Linked DNA regions of Tamandua tetradactyla. The protein of the gene in region 1 interacts with the protein of each later gene in a pairwise test. Links are inferred from orthologs where the notes say so. Each region holds a gene or a part of one and is shown on either strand. Other genes may lie near its edges.

Region 1 (7,328 bases):
GCCACAAGGAGGCGGCCGGCCTCGGCCACCGCAGGCAGCACATCGATGTGGAGCTCCAGGTGTGGGTGTCGCACCTCAAGCAGCAGCTCCGGGGAGGCTACACCGGGCTGGATCAGGCAGCCAAGTAGGCTCCCGATGGCCGGCCAGTTGACAGATGCAGCCAGCGCCTTGCGGAGCAGCTCCAGCAGCTCCCGGGGGGACAGGTAGCCGCCCACCAGGAAGCGGTCCCAGGGGCTGCTCCCACGGGGGCGAAACTCCAGCTGTGTCCTGCGCACGGCCCAGCAGCGGGGGTCTCCGGCCACGGTGTCCGTACCCGGTACCAGGCCCCACAGGCCTGGCTCCAGCACCAGGGGGGCCAGGAGGCGCACGGGGTCAGCCACCCCCACCTGCAGCCCGTCATAGAGCGGCCCGCCCGGCTCCAGGGCCCCGAAGGGTAGCATTGGGAACTTAGCCCGCAGGTAGGTCTGCAGCTCCAAGCCAATGTCTCTGGCCAACTGTTTGGCTAACGCCTCGGTGGCAGCGGGGACGGCCACATGGTCCCGCTCGAAGGCCAGCAGCTTCTCCTGGAAGGTTAGGCACAGCGGAACAGGGCTGCCGAGCCACGGGGTCGGGCGAGCACCAGTGTCTGCAGGATGGGTGTCACTGGGCGCCTCTGCGAGGTCGGGAGAAGGTGAGAACGCACGAGCTGCAGTACTCTGCCCGACTCCCAGTGGCATGACAGCAGATAGGCCCACGGCAGGCCCAGCCCAGGGAGCCCGTGGCCCCAGTTCTCCCAAACCACGGCTGCCTGGTGACCCCCACACCCTCACCCTGCAGTTACTACACGGAACTGGGGAACGCTGCCCCCACCGCTCTGGACAGGCGCCCCTTTGGGCCTGGTGTTCCGCACTGGAAGCTCCCACCCCCAATTCCCACGTCCCTGCCATGAGCACTCTGCTGCCTCGCCACACCCCACCCAACACAGACACGTCATGGTTGGTGGGAGGACAGTGAATCCCACTGTTCACTAACCATTCGGGGAGAGCACCACCCACCCCGAGTGCCTGGAACCTGCCCGGGTCACACCACCAGCAGCAGAGCCTGGACTGACTCCAGGAGAACCCCAAAGGGAACCCCTGCATCCTGGGAGAAGGGCTGTGGCTCACCTGCAGCAGCAGGGGCTGGGGACAGGAGGGGCCGGCTGAGGGGGACAGGAGGCAGCTGGGGGTGCAGGCGCGGCGTGGCCCTGAGCAGGTTCAGCTCCTTCCAGCTATCCTCCAGGCAAGTGGGTTCCAACTTGGCGTCATCCTCATCCCGTGGGCTGGTGGCCCTGTCAATGAGCTGGAGGCAGAGACACAGGTCGGGTCGCCGGGGTCCAGGCACAGCTCCAGGTGGGACACACCGAGCTACTGGGGGACTGAAATGCACCCCACCGGCCCCCTGCTGGGACCTACCCAGTACAGCCTTACCCGCTTTACAGCCAGGGTGGCGATGCCCAGTACTGCAGCCCCACCCATGCCCAGCACCAGGCGGGCATTGGCCAGGAGGAAGTCCACAGCAGTGCCGAAGATGTCACCGTCGGGCCGCTTCCCCCGCTTCTGGGAGAATTCAGCCATGGTCTGCTGGGAGAGAACCAGGTGTGCGTGTGTGCATGCACATGTGTGTGCACATCTGTGTATGTGTGCATGCGTGCATGTGGGCAGCCCCAGTGGAGAAGCTAGGACTGCCAGGGGGTGGCCCAGGGCAGGCAGGGATGGGCAGAGGGCTCCTGCAGCCATCCTGCTGGGGCACTTAGTCAAGCCCATGACAGCTTCCCAGGAGAAAAGGGCTACGTGTATGGTTTCTTGGGAGATCAGGGTGCTGCCCAAGGCCCTGCTCCCCCAAACCTGCACACCACTGCCTGCAGGAAAAGGGGGATTCATGCAGACTGGCTCCTCCCCAGAGGAGTGAGTCGGAGTCACCACCAGCTTTTCCCTGATCACACAGTGAGCAGTGGGGGCACAAACCCGCAAACATACAGCGTGTGGCACCCCAGTGTTTCCTGCTGGCCCCTGAGTCTACTTGGTCCTCTCTGACCCACGAGCCCAGCTCAGAGCCTGCCGCAGCCCTAGAGCTCTGGTTTCCAACCAGGGCTGGGTAGACTCCCAGTGTAGACAGGTGGGGAGGAGTTAAGGGGACCTCAGCAAGACTCAGGGGCCACACTCCCAGCCCTGAATGCTGACAGGGCACCCCCAGGACAGGCAGAGGGGGCCGGCCTTGGCTCCAGGCAGCAGAGGGCACGCGCAAGTCCTGCTACGTGCAGGGGCAGTGAGCAAGGAAGCTTTTTAGAGCTCAGACGTGAGACTGCCCAGTGGCTTGGGGACAGAGGGACAGCTGTCATCAGCTGCTAGGAGGCCACGCACCCCAGAAGTTAAGGTCAGGGTCAGCAGCGCCACCCACTTCCTCCCCTGCAAAACAGCCAAAGGTGGTGGACAGAAAGGATCAGAAGGAGGGAGTCCGCAGGTGTCTTCTGGGCAGGCTCAGGCAGGTGAGAAGAGGCAGGGCCCTGACCCAGCCCCACATTCTAAGGGAGACCCGGCCTCAGGCTCTGCCCACCAAGCCCACCTGCTGAGGGAGAGGGGCGGCTACAGGGCCAGCGTGGGGCCCCGGGCCTGCAGGAGGGACAAACACACACCAGGCAGGACTGTCCAGTCCGGGAGGCCGAAGCCCGCGTCATGAAGTCACGGCCGGCTGGGGCCCTGGGGACGCAGCCCTCCCGGCCTGCCAGGTGCCCGCCGAAGCCCGGGCCAGGGAGTGACTCATTCCCAAGCACCTACCCACCCGCCCAGGCTAAAAATAGAACAAGAGGTCTCAGGGGCCGCGCGAGGACACCGGCCAGCCGGCTGACCAGTCCGCCGGGCGGCCGGTTTGTCCACCGGGGGTTCACCCGCCTCCACTTCGCGAACTGTACACCGATTTGAACACCTCCCTCCTGGCTACGCAGGCGCCCGCCCAGCGCCGGCGGCCGAGCAGGCCCCGGCCCCGGCCCGGGCCCCAGCCCCAGGAGCCGGCGCGGGGGGCAGGCGTGACCCCTCCCTCCTCCGCCCGGCCCGCCCCCACGCGAGGAACCCGCGTCCCGGAGACCGAGGGGCTTGCCCAACACGGGATTCGAGCGCGGGCGGCGGGCCCCGAGGCGCTGCCCCCGCCCCGCCGTACCCAGGTCGCGGCCCCGCGAACGGGCCCCAGCGCGAAGCGGGCCCCGCCCGGCCCACCTGGGAATGGAACGCGGCAGAGCCGGGAGGCGCGCGCCGGGGCCGGGGTCGGAGGAGGCGGGCGGTGACCCCCAGAGGCACGCAGACGAGGAAGCCGAGCTCCAACGAGAGCGCACAGCGCCCCGCCCACGTGCCAAAATACTGCGCAGCTCAGCCAATGGGCACCTGGCCACGCCCCCCGCCCGGCGCGACTTCCTCTCGACTTAAAGGCCGAGGACTCCATTTCGAGCCCGCGGCGGGCTGGGAAGTGGAGGCTGGGAGGCCTGTCCCGGCGCGTGGAATGAGCGGCCCCCAGGGCCCGTTGTGACTTGGGTGCCCTGGGATAGTGAGCCTGGGGGTGAAGAAAGCTCTCTGGGCCCACGTTTCTCCCGGGACCACTTGCCGGGCGCCCTGAGGTCACCTGCCAGAAACCTGAGGGCATTTCAGGATTACCTGCTGGCCCACCTGGTGACCTGGGGTGAGGGGGTGTGTCCATGCTCCACAGGCCTCAGTTTTCCCTTCTGTAAAGCAGGGCCCCGCACGGCGTGGCTGAAAACAGCAGCAGCTGGGAAATGCCCGGCCTGCTCTGGGGTCGCTGGACTGCGCCCGGACCCCGCCCCTGTGGGAGCTGCATTCGGGGGGCCACGAGGCGGGAGATCGCGGGAACACACCTGGGGGAGCTCATGCCCAGCAGGGATAGCAAACACGTGCACCATTGGGCGCCTGCTGTATGCTGGGAGTTCCACGTGGAGGTGGGGGTGCGTCTGGCCTTAGGAAGCGTTTCACAGATGCGGCCGCAGGTATAGGGTGGCCCGGGCCAAGCCCTGGGGCAGGCAGGGGCGCCTCGGGAACGGGCCCCCGAACCCCTCAAACCCAGTCGGACGACTGCAGCAACATCCCCGGGTCCCGCCGCGGGGTTCTCGGAGCCGACGCTGAACCCTGCCGCCGTCAGAGGAGCCGAAGCCAAGGCCCTCCCCGCCCCGAGACCCGGCGATCCCCGCGGGCAGGCGCGTTCCCGCGGCAGGGCGGTCCGGGGCGCGGGTGCGGCGGGCGCGGGCGGGTTAAAGGGGCGGAGCCGGCGGCGGAGGCCCAGCCCGCGGCCGCCTCCCGGATCCGCCCTGCGCGCCCTGCCCGGCCGCCGGCGACAGCGGCGCCATGGAGGCCACCGGGGTGCTGCCGTTCGTGCGCGGCGTGGACCTCAGCGGCAACGACTTCAAGGTGAGCCGGCCGGGCCTGCTCGCGGGCGCTGCGCCTCCTCCGCCGCGGGCCCAGCCGCCCCCCGCTCCTCGGCCGCCCGCGGGGCCCTGCGCGCGGCCGCGATCGCCGGCCGGGCCGGGGTGTGGCCCTCCGGGCGCTCCGGGACCGTCCCCGCGCCCTGCCCCGAGCCGGAGTCCGCGGCCCCGAGGCCCGGCGCGCTGCCCGGGCGGGAGGACGGCTCTCAGGCCGGGCTGCGAGAAGAGGGGCCTCTCGGCGGGGGCGACCCTGGGCCGGCCGGCGGGCCCCTGTTCACGCCGCCCCAGCCCCAGTCGTGCCCCTCGGAGGCCGCACCGCCCAGCCAGGCCCTGACTCACGCCCGCGCTGCCCCGCCCCGCCGCCACCCCTGGCCACATCCTGTGCGGTGTTGGGCCAGACACTTCCTCCTCGGAGACCCGGGCTTGCTCTCCGGGAGGAGGGTCTCCCTGCAGCCCTTCCTGGGAGTGTCCGGAGGGCGTGATAAGTTGCTTGGAGGGTGTGCAGGCCGGTGTGAGCCCCGGTGGTGTGGGTCTGCCTCTCTTACCGGCCCCCTCCCCACCCCTGCCCCCTACCTGGCGCTGCCCAGTTGGAGGGCAAGAGGAGGTTGTCCTGGAGAGAATCGGGAATGGGGTGGGCTGGGCTGTGACTCCAGAGAAGGGCCGCAGCTGAGAGCTGGCCTGGTGGGGGGATGTGTGGCTGCAGTGTGCGGGGCAGGTATGGGCCTGGGGCTGTTAGGTGGGGGTCTGAGGGCCCCCCACCCCTCCCCCGCTCTGCCTGGGGTTGGGCGTCAGCCTGGGGCTCGCTCCTCCTGCATCTCCCAGCAAACCACCACACCTTTGACTCCCATGCCCAGGCGTGGGCTGACTGCATGTCACCCTGTCCCCCATCCCCACGGGGTCTCCAGGTGTCCTCTCTGCACTAGGAGAGGCTGCATTACAGACTGGGAAGATGGCCATAGGGGAAAGGGGACACCAGCCAGGGGCACGGAGAGCACTCTTTGTCCCAGACCTCCTCCCCCAAGCAGGGAGGGGCTGTCACTGCAGACCCGAACCCCCCAGCCCCCATCTGCCCATGTGCACCTGGGGCATTCGAATACTGGGAGTCCATGGGGGTGGCAAGCCGAGGCCTCAGCACAGTGGGGTCAGGACCTGGTGGGGGTGTGAGGGGGTGGGCTGTGCTGCGAGACAAAGTGCAAATCTGGAACGTACCTCAGCCAGGTACTGTCCTGTCCGGGTCCTCCCCGGGCTCAGAGTCCAGTGGGACAAATAGATCTCAGGCCACCAACCACACCTACAGTTAGTCCATCCTCACAACACTTGTCATGTGAGGGCTTTTATTAGCCCCATGTCATGGGTAAGGAAATTGATGAAGTGACTCGTCCAGGGTCACCCAGATGGGTGGGTGGTGGAGTGGGGGTACCGGGAGGGGGTGCCTCCCTTCTCCAGACATGCCTACCATGGCACTCCGTGGCTACACAGGGTGGCTACTTCCCTGAGAATGTCAAGTCCATGACCAGCTTGCGATGGCTGAAGCTGAACCGCACGGGTCTCTGCTACCTCCCAGAGGAGCTGGCCGCTCTGCAGAAGCTGGTAAGGGGCTTCAGGCGGGGAGCAGGAGGGTGTCCCTGTGAATGAGCCTGGGCTGGGTGGAAAGGGTGGCCAGCACAGGAGGAACACTCTGACAGTCGTGGTCAGAGGTGGCTGAGAGGGAGTAAGCACCCTGTCATGGGAGGTGTGCAAGAAGAGGTCAGGCCTGTGAGTGAGGAGAAGGCAGAGATAGACTGGGCCTGCGTGGCCGAGGCCCCTCCCCCCATGGGGTACAAGGCTGCAGTGGTGGGCAGGACATGTGTGGACCCCATCCAGCCTGCTGAGCCCGTCTCCCTTCCTGCCCCAGGAGCACTTGTCTGTGAGCCACAACAACCTGACCACACTTCATGGAGAGCTGTCCAGCCTGCCATCACTTCGGGTGAGTGCTGGGGGGAGGGGGAGGCCTCCAGGCACAGGGGTGAGGTATTGACGAGCATGGAGGGGTGCCAGACATGGGAGGGGCCTAGGGGCAGGCGCTGGTATCCTGCCCGGAGAGGAAGGGCAAGGCCAGATCCCCGGCCGGGCCAGCATTTCTGTCTACCCCCATATGAGAATCAGGGGCCGAGGCATAAAGAAGGGAAGACATAATAATGCTTGTGTAAGGTGAGGCGTGTGAGTTGGAGAAGGCCAGAGTGGAAAAGAAGAAAAGAAGTCCTGATTACCCACTTTGGGTTGTAACAACGCAGTAGTAGTAAATCATTTAACCCTGGTTTCCACCTATTTTGGGAGGGGAGAAACTTAAGCTCAGAGGTCAGGTCACACCTGGCAGTGGTGGGGCTGGTAGGGTGAGCTTAGTTGGGGTGGGAGGGTCAGAGGGGAGCCCCTGGACAACGAGGATCAGGTCCACAGCCAGTGACCTGAGAGGTTTAGGGCACAGCCTCTGGGCCAAGGCTGCCCAAGTTCAAATGTGAACTCTGCCATTTTCCGGCTGCATGACCTTAGACAAGTCACTTCAGCTTCCTGGGCCCCAAGTGCAAGTAGGGTGGAATGGCACTGAGTAAGCCTTAGTGGCTATTATCATTCTTACCACTGCTTCTTACAATCATGGGACAACCTCCTCCACCCCCACGAACTTCCTGTAGGTCTGCGGTATGTGGAAGTTCCACCCAGGGGGTCAGAAAGCAGACTGCAGCTCTGCTGTCTTCCTCTCAGTCCACACACTGATTTCTCTTTGGTCGCTCCATTCTAGAAACCTTGACTCAGATCTAGAAAAGGTTCCCTGAGGGCCCTGTGCTGGGCTGTGAGGTACATTTGAGCTGGGCTTTGAGGTATGAGTAAGAGCCTGCCAGGCGGAAGAGGT
Region 2 (8,107 bases), on another chromosome or scaffold:
CAACATTATGTTTTTGAGATTTGGACTGTTGCCGACATTAGGGCTTGTTCATTTTTACTGCTGAGTGGTGTCTCTGTAACTACAATTTGTTTATTCCTTCACCTGCTGGTGAACATCTGGGTTGTTTGGTGCTTTTGGCTTTTATGAATCAAACTGTCACAAGCATTCTTGTCCATCTCTTTTTTCTGTGATCTCTTTTTTGGGGGCGTGGGGGCAGGCACCGGGAAATGCATCCAGGTCTTGGGCATGGCAGGCGAGAATTCTGTCACTGAGCCACCATTGCACTGCCCTGTGCATCTCTTTTTAAGGACATGTTTTCATTTCTCTTGGCAAATACCAGAGTGGAATGCCTGGAGCATACATTAGATGCATGTTTATAAGAAACTCCCAGACAGTGTTCCAAACCAGCTGCACAGTTTTAAACTCCCACCAGCGATGTATGAGAATTCCACTTGGTGAGAATGTCAGCCTAACCAACATGTGGGTCTGCCAGTCTTTTTAATTTTAGACTTTCTAATGGGTGTGAAGTGACATCTTACTGTGGTTTTATTTTATTTTATTTTTTAAAATATATTTATTAATTAAAAAATTAAGAAACAAAATAAAACATCAACATACATAATCAGTAATTCACAATATCATCACTTAGTTGCATATTCATCATTTCTTAGAACATTTGCATTAATTCAGAAAAAGAAATAAAAGGACAATAGAAAAAGAAATAAAACAAACAGAAAGAAAGAAAAAAAAAGATTATACCTACCATACCCCTTCCCCCTTGCTTTCATTGATCACTAGCATTTCAAACTAAATTTATTTTAGCATTTGTTCCCCCTATTATTTATTTTTATTCCATATGTTCTACTCCTTTGTTGACAAGGTAGATAAAAGGAGCATCAGACACAAGGTTTTCACAATCACACAGTCACATTGTGACAGCTGTATCATTATTCAATCATCCTCAAGAAACATGGCTACTGGAACACAGCTCTACATTTTCAGGCAGTTTCCTCCAGCCTCTCCACTACGTTTTGAATAACAAGATGATATCTACTTATTGCATAAGAATAACCTCCAGGACAACCTCTCGCCTCTGTTTGGAATCTCTCAGCCATTGACACTTTGTCTCATTTCACTCTCTTCCCTTTTGGTCCAGAAGGTTTTCTCAATCCCTTGATGTTAAGTCTCAGCTCATTCTAGGGTTTTTCTCAATTCCTTGATGCTGAGTCTCAGCTCATTCCAGGATCTCTGTCTCACGTTGCCAGGAAGGTCCACACCCCTGGGAGTCATGTCCCACGTAGAGAGGGGGAGGGTGTTGAGACTGCTCATTGTGTTGGCTAGAGAGAGAGGTGTGGTTTTATTTTGCATATCCTGATGATAAAAATGTTGAGCACTTTTTCATGTGCTTTTTGGACATTTTTGTCTATCTTCTTATATGAAGAGTATGTTTAAGTTTTTAAGTTTTTGCTCATTACTTAAGTAGTCTGTTTTTTTTTTTTATTGCTTTTTGGGAGCTCTTTATATATTCCGGATACAAGTGCTTTGTCACATCTATGCATTATGGATATTTCCTCCCAGTTTGTGTCTTGTGTTTGCATTTTCATAATGGAGGTTTTCTTTTAACATTTTTTCAATTGTAAAATATAACATATATATACAGAAAAGGATTGTATATTGGACATAGTGTGCAATATCTTGCAGAGACTCAGGATTCTGTTATTTTCTTTTGAAGTGTATTAAATTTGGTTCTAGCAGGTAGTCAAATGACCTTGACCTTACATATCACCTTGATCATGTTGAAACTTGATTATGGACTTTGTTACGGTGCATCTATTCTGTTTTTTTCTGTTATTCCGAGGTCTTACCCTGATATCCTGGAAAGTGGTCTTACTACTAAGGCATAGCCCTTCTGGGGTTTCAGTGAAAAATGCAAGGTGTTTACCAAGTCCCTCTAATTTGGAAGCACTTGAAACTCCTAACTTCTTCCCAGCACTGGGAAGCTGCAGAAATTTCTTCTCAACTTTTTTCAGGGATTCCAGCTGCTGCTTCTTTCTGAGTTGCTTGGAGTCTTGCCCCCCCCCCCCCCCCCCCCATAGCTGAGGCTCAGGACGCTGCCATGGTTTCAAGATAAGTCAGCATACAGTTCAACCGCTATGGGTCCTCCTCTTCTGGGATTTTCCCCACTGATTTCCAGCTTTACTGATAGCCCCAAACCCTGAGGTCTGATTGCTCAGTTCAATGGTGGTATCACAAAAATGCAGAATGGGGGCAGAAATGAAGGAAAAGGGAAAATTTGGCATGTGATCGGATTTAGGGTAGAACGGAGCAAGATGGATCCAAGATGATTCCAAAGCCTGTGCTAGCTGGATAACAGGGACTGGGGAAAGCAAGGCTGGAGCACCAGTGAACTAGGTTTGGGTTGGGGCCACATGATGGCTTCCTCAGGGGACCCACTTGAATGACCTTTGGCGTACCCTCTGCCCAGCGGGCAGACTAAATGACCCCTCTGTGATGTACGGTGACTGCTCTCCCCAGCCAGCCAGGAGGAATGAGCTCCTCAACAAAGGGACCATTGTTTCAGGGCGGAGACTCCATGTGGGTACCACTGGGGTGTGAGGTGCCCCCTTACCAAGGCTGCCTTGGCTACCTCCACTTTCTGGTGAACTCCTTCCTCAAATTAGCCCCTGTATTTCTGTGACAGGGCTTGGTACCAAGCTTGGAGATGAGCATATGGATTCTCCGATCCTGGGCCATGACAGCTGTGATGTGTTTTCTCTGTCACCTGGGCTGAAATCCCTCATGTAGGTAGTATAATTGTTTGGGATTTGGTAAGGGGTGGAATAGGAGAAGAGCTCCATGGAAGGGGTTGAGGCAGTGCTGGTAGCTCAGTTACGTGGGGGTATAGTCTTCTAGGTCAGTGCAGACTCATGGACTTCCGAGCTTTAGAGGCTGAGGGCCCAAGGAGGAGAGACAGCAAAGCTTCCCTGTGAGCCCAAGGCTTGGCCTGCTGGGTGGTGTCTCAATGGTCTCTATCTCCCTCCAGAGCATCCCAAGCACTGGGGGCCCACAAAGCTGCTTAATGCCCCTTGCCCACCTCTCCCAGTGCCCTAGCAGGAGCTGCTGCCTCCCTCCTCCATACATTCCAGACTGAAGCCTTTGCAGGCCGGAACCAGGGGACCGACTGTGGGCTGAGCCCTGCAACAGGTTCCTTGCCTGGGCTGCTCAATCTTGACAAGGCAGATGTCAGGATTTTCACTGAAAGGCGAGAACTAGCCTGGTCTGAGATCACATCAGAGCAGGGAGATGTACATGGCCCATAGACAAAGAACTCACGATGTCATGGCCCATTTGGTGCCAGGAGCCCAGGGGAGCCAGCCTGAGCAAAGCCACAGAATCATCGCAGCTGCACCTTGAGTGTGGGAATGGTGAGCAGGGCTGGGGACAGGGGAAGGGATGACCCCTCAAGGTTTCTTCCAGTACGGATTATGTGACCAGAGGATTACCGGACCCTATGCTGGGTGAAGGGGGCATAGATCCAAACAACAGCTATCTCTCAGGGCCTCCGAGGTACCAGGTGTACTGCCACGCTCTGAGAAGACAGGACTGACAAGCTTAGGGCCCCAAGCACTGTGTGCCCTGCCAGTCCCCCCACCCCACCCCAGGAGTCCCTCAGGTGTCGTGAGCTCCCTGCTACTGCAGGGCCCCCTGTGGTCCCTCCTTCACCCAGCTGCCAGGTTACCTTCACAACCACCCAAGCCAACCTGGTCCCATCACTTGGTTGGAAATACTCCAAAAACATTAACTGTCCTTTCCTCTGGGCGGGAGGGGGGGGGGAGTTACAGGTGACTCCCTACTCCCCCTCCTCTCCACCCTCCCCTCCCTCCATTCCTCCCAAAGTCCAGCGGCCTTAGAGCTCCCCCCACACCCGGAACACATGGGAACCGATGCCGACTGAGCTTGTGTAGGGTCCTTTCTTCCCATCCCATCCTGAGGGCCAAGTACTCGACTTCTACCTATTACACTGGACAAGAAGGCAAGGGCTTTGTACGCCTTACCTAATTCTCCAATTTATTTTTAAGTCCACCTGTGGGGATGAAGAACAGAAGCTTCAGAGAGCTTTTTCAACAAGTATTCACTGCCAGCAGCTGTGTGACAGGCCCATTCCTAAGAGTGCAGGGACAGGACCCTGCTTTCGGGGGTGCAGACCCTGGGGAGGGGCGCCGCGATCCTTCTGCACAGGGATAAGCAGGCCCCGGAGGAGGCTGGCCACGGTCCCGCAGCCCCGCAGCGGCGCCATCGGACCGCACCTGGGCCTGACCGCAGAGCCGGGTTCCCTCCCGTGGCGCGGAACTCACCGGCCCTGCGCCGCCCCTCCGCACAACCCCTCCGTGCAACCCCCGGCCTGAGAGCCTTCCCGCGCCCCGCGGAGGTCGCAGCTGCACCGACGCCCACGGCCCTGGCGCCAGTCGCTGCGCCTTCCCCCGCCGGCCTGAGATTCTCCGGGGGCCGCCACCGATCTCCAGGACCCCTACCCCGGCCCCTCTGCTCCCTCGGCGTTCCCCGCCGACCCTGATCCCCGCTGTCCCCGCCGCCGTCCTCCCGGCCCGTCCCTCGCTGTCGCCGAGCCCAGCCTGTTCGTCCCCTACCCCGCGGTTCTCCCGGGCGCCTCGACATCTCCCGGGTCCTGAGCCTCCTGACCCCCGCGACCCCTTGTCCTCCGCGGCCCTCGCGCCCGGCCGCTCGCGCCCAGCGCCCAGCTCTCCCGGTCGTCCCCGTCCCCGCCCTCGCGCCCGACCGCTAGCACAAGGACGCCCTAGGTCCCACTGCGTCCCCGGATCCGTTAGGTTCCCCGGCCTCCCCGCGTCCCCGTCCCCGTCCCCGCGCCCCCGCGCCCGGCCCGCTCGTCCCCGCGCCCGCTGACGCCATGACGCCGCGGCGGAGGGAGGGGCGCGGGCGAGGCCGGAGGGGCCGGCGCGCGGGGCGCGGGGCGCGGGGCGCGGGAGGCGGCGGCGCGGCCGATGGACATGGGCACGCAGGGCTCGGGGCGCAGGCGGCCCCCCACGCGCGAGCGGCTGACGGCGGAGGACGACGCGCTGAGCCGGGTCGCGCGCGAGGTGAGTTCCGGGCCCTTGGGCGGGGGCGGGGGCGGGGGCGTCCCTCGGCTGGGCGGCCCCGCACGCGGAGCCCGGGTCACGACCTCGGCGGCCGCGGGGAACAGGCCGGCCACGCGGCCCCCGGCTCGGAGCCCGGCCCCGGGGCAGCCGGGTTGGGAACGCTGCGGGCGGGCAGGGCGGCCCGGGCTCGGCCGGGTGGGGACGAGCGCGCCGCTGTGTGGAACCGCAGGGGGGGCGGCCGGGGGCCTAAGCAGGGATGGGGGCCGGTCTCCCGAGGCCCGAGGCCCGCATGGTCCTGCCCAAGGCGCTGTCTGGCGTCTGTCGTCGCCGGGAGGCTGGGTGCCGCCTGGGGTGCACTTGGGGGTCACTGTGGAGCCTGTTTCTGCCCTGAGCTTGCGAGCGGGTCGGGCGCACCAGAGGCCGTCGTCAGGTTCTTGGGCTGAGAGATCACATTCGGCCATGAACTTGGTCAGGACCACTTAGCCGGGCATGGTGGTCACAGGTCTGCAGGAGTCGCTTTCTCGTCCCCGTGGGTTCAACGTTAAGGGTAAACTATGTAAGAAACAGCCCAGCTCATAGTACATGTCTGTAGATATCTGTTGTATTAATAAGCAAAAAAAGTACAAAGCTAAATATAAATATTTGCTGAATGCAGCACCTTAAATATCATGCGCTCCTGTGAAGACATCGTTTATGAGTAAGGCGGTAAGAGCACACGAGTGTTTCTGGGGGACCCCGGCCGGGGGTAGTTCGAATGACCACTGGGCTGTGTTCTCCAGGTCAGTGTTTAAGGGAGAGGAATGAGAAGAATGAGAGTTCCCAGGCTCCCCCTTCTTATCGGCTGGTTTTGATAAAAATAGATTGAAACTAAAGGCCCGGGAATTCACCCTGGCTTGATGGGCACTTGTGGTCCTGCCTGACCGGGAACTCACTGTCTTACCTCCCACCTAGGGACACAGGGTTTGGCGAGATAGAGTAGACTTTGGAGTCCGACCTGACCTGGGTTTTGAAACTGCACAGATCCCCACCAGCCGTGTGGGTCTCAGGAAGGACCTCCTCTGAACTTGTGTTTTCCTGTTCTCTGAGAAGGAAAAAGAACCCCCCGTGGCTGTCAAAATGGAAGGCAAGTTGCGTCTGGAAAGTGCATAATTAGGTGCTGGGTCACTCTGTGATCTCCTGCACACACCCTCAGATAGGAATCAGCCGTGGGCTCCTAGTGATTTATTTATAAGGTTGGAGGTAGCTGGTGCAACATTTTGTGTTCTGCTGCAAATTGATTTCTGTATCCCAGCTGTGGTATTTAGAATCACCTGGCCAGTATCTAGTCGTCCTCGAGTTCCTGAGAGTTCTTATACAAATTAACAAGGTTTTCCTAGATAAATTTAATGCTTCTTTACTCACTCATAGCACGATGTTTAAATCACTGTCATAGGGAGACTGGGGGGTCAGGACTGAATCCCACATGGACCTGGCCTCGAGGAGCTGTGCTGGGAGGGAGTAATGGCCGATAGATAAATAACAACAGAAAACTAGAAAGGATCTGGTTTGAAAAGGACCAGAATGCACTGCTGTGAGATTCGGAAATGAGTGCATTTCATCTTGCTTTTGGGACCAGGAGTGGTGATCAGAGGCGGCTTCCTGGAGGAAGTGGCATTTTGAGCTGTTTGAAGGATGTATCAGGATGCTTTGATGCCAGTGACGGGGACAGTCACGTGGCAGCTCTGGCTCCTTTTCTCCCGGCACCCCTGCAAGGTCCCCCTACAGGTGGCTGTCCTTGCACTGGCTTGTGCCACACCGGCCTGCGTGGCGGCACCCCCAGGCCTCCCTCCTGCCCACACCCTGGCTGTCTGCGGGCCTCCTGCCCATTCTTGAGCCAGGCTCAGTGGCGGGCAGTTGACTTGAGGCCCCACTGGGCCCTGGGCAAGGGGTATGGCTGGATGCAGTAGCCCATCAGGCCCATTCCTGGAGCCCGTGGAAAGCGTGGGGTCCTGCGTGGAAACAGGACCCCTTAGGGAGGAGGAGGAGGTGCCGGGCAGTCCTGACAGGCATTGAGGAATGTGCAATCTGGAAGGTGAGCGGGGTCAGCAGGACGTCAGAGTCTCAGGGAAGGCTCCATCCCCCAGTGAGGGGGAGTGCGGGACACGGCTGCCGCTGGGAGGCCTCATGGGGACTGGACAGATTGTGGGGTCCTCATGGGGACTGGAAGGTTGGGGGGTCCTCATGGGGAATGGACAGGTTGGGGGGCCCTCGTGGCGAGCTCAGCGCTCTCTGCTGAGGGGTTGGACCTTCCTGGTAGGAAGCAGTGAAGGGGGAGCGTCTGAAGTGTCGCCTTTACCTCCTGGAGTTACGCTGTGGTCTCTGCCGTGGGTGACTTCCCTGAGAACCGGGTGTTATTTCTCGGTGCCATTGGTCTGGGCGTGAGCAGGCTGGGGGTCCGCCCTGTCAGGGTGGCTTTGGGAAGCAGAGGGGGCTGCTGTCCCACGGACCCGGACTGCGCCTGGCATATCCTGGGCAGAGGGGTTCTCAAAGCAGCTGTTTTTTTTCCCATCACGTTTAACTTCCTGCTGGCAATTTTTGGTGGCAACCCAGATTTCTATTTAGCCTCCTTCCCCGGAGGAAAACGAAATTGCTCTCCCGATGCCTGGAGCAGCTCTCAGTATTTCTCTCCGATGCAGACATCATTCCTGAATGAGAAAGGTGCTGTGAAAGCTCCTGGGGAGCAGTCTGCAGACCTTGGGAAGTTGCCGTGAGTTTGGCACTCGGCGGGGCCCCGACATGCTTGGGGCACCCCTCTTCTCCAAGACGGCGCCCCAAGGCGCTCACCCCGCCCAGGGCTCCCAGCCACCCCTTCCTTTGAGGCGCTGCGGCCACACAGAAGCCACCTTCCCGGGCAGGGGCACCTGTGACCTCCCACCTCTGCCCACCCGGGCTGCCTTGACCGGTGACTGAGCAGTCTGGGGGAACTGAAAGCCCTGCACCGTGCTCCAGCACTC

What was found.
Region 2: the proteins of FLII (region 1) and LRRFIP1 interact in binary tests that used the Homo sapiens proteins (3 or more experiments, as listed by UniProt). The link is inferred for Tamandua tetradactyla from reciprocal best matches to the Homo sapiens genes FLII and LRRFIP1.

The regions. Positions count from the first base shown.
Region 1 is NC_135332.1:1,890,594-1,897,921, reverse strand, and holds the start of FLII (protein flightless-1 homolog), read left to right. Parts: upstream 1-4,321; 5' UTR 4,322-4,364; coding exon 4,365-4,427; intron 4,428-5,920; coding exon 5,921-6,031; intron 6,032-6,335; coding exon 6,336-6,407; intron 6,408-7,328. Other genes in the region: MIEF2 (mitochondrial dynamics protein MID49), read right to left, coding at 1-652, 1,146-1,320, 1,449-1,601, 3,881-3,925. UniProt on the Homo sapiens protein: Is a regulator of actin polymerization, required for proper myofibril organization and regulation of the length of sarcomeric thin filaments. It also plays a role in the assembly of cardiomyocyte cell adhesion complexes.
Region 2 is NC_135329.1:215,514,410-215,522,516, reverse strand, and holds the start of LRRFIP1 (leucine-rich repeat flightless-interacting protein 1), read left to right. Parts: upstream 1-5,018; coding exon 5,019-5,114; intron 5,115-8,107.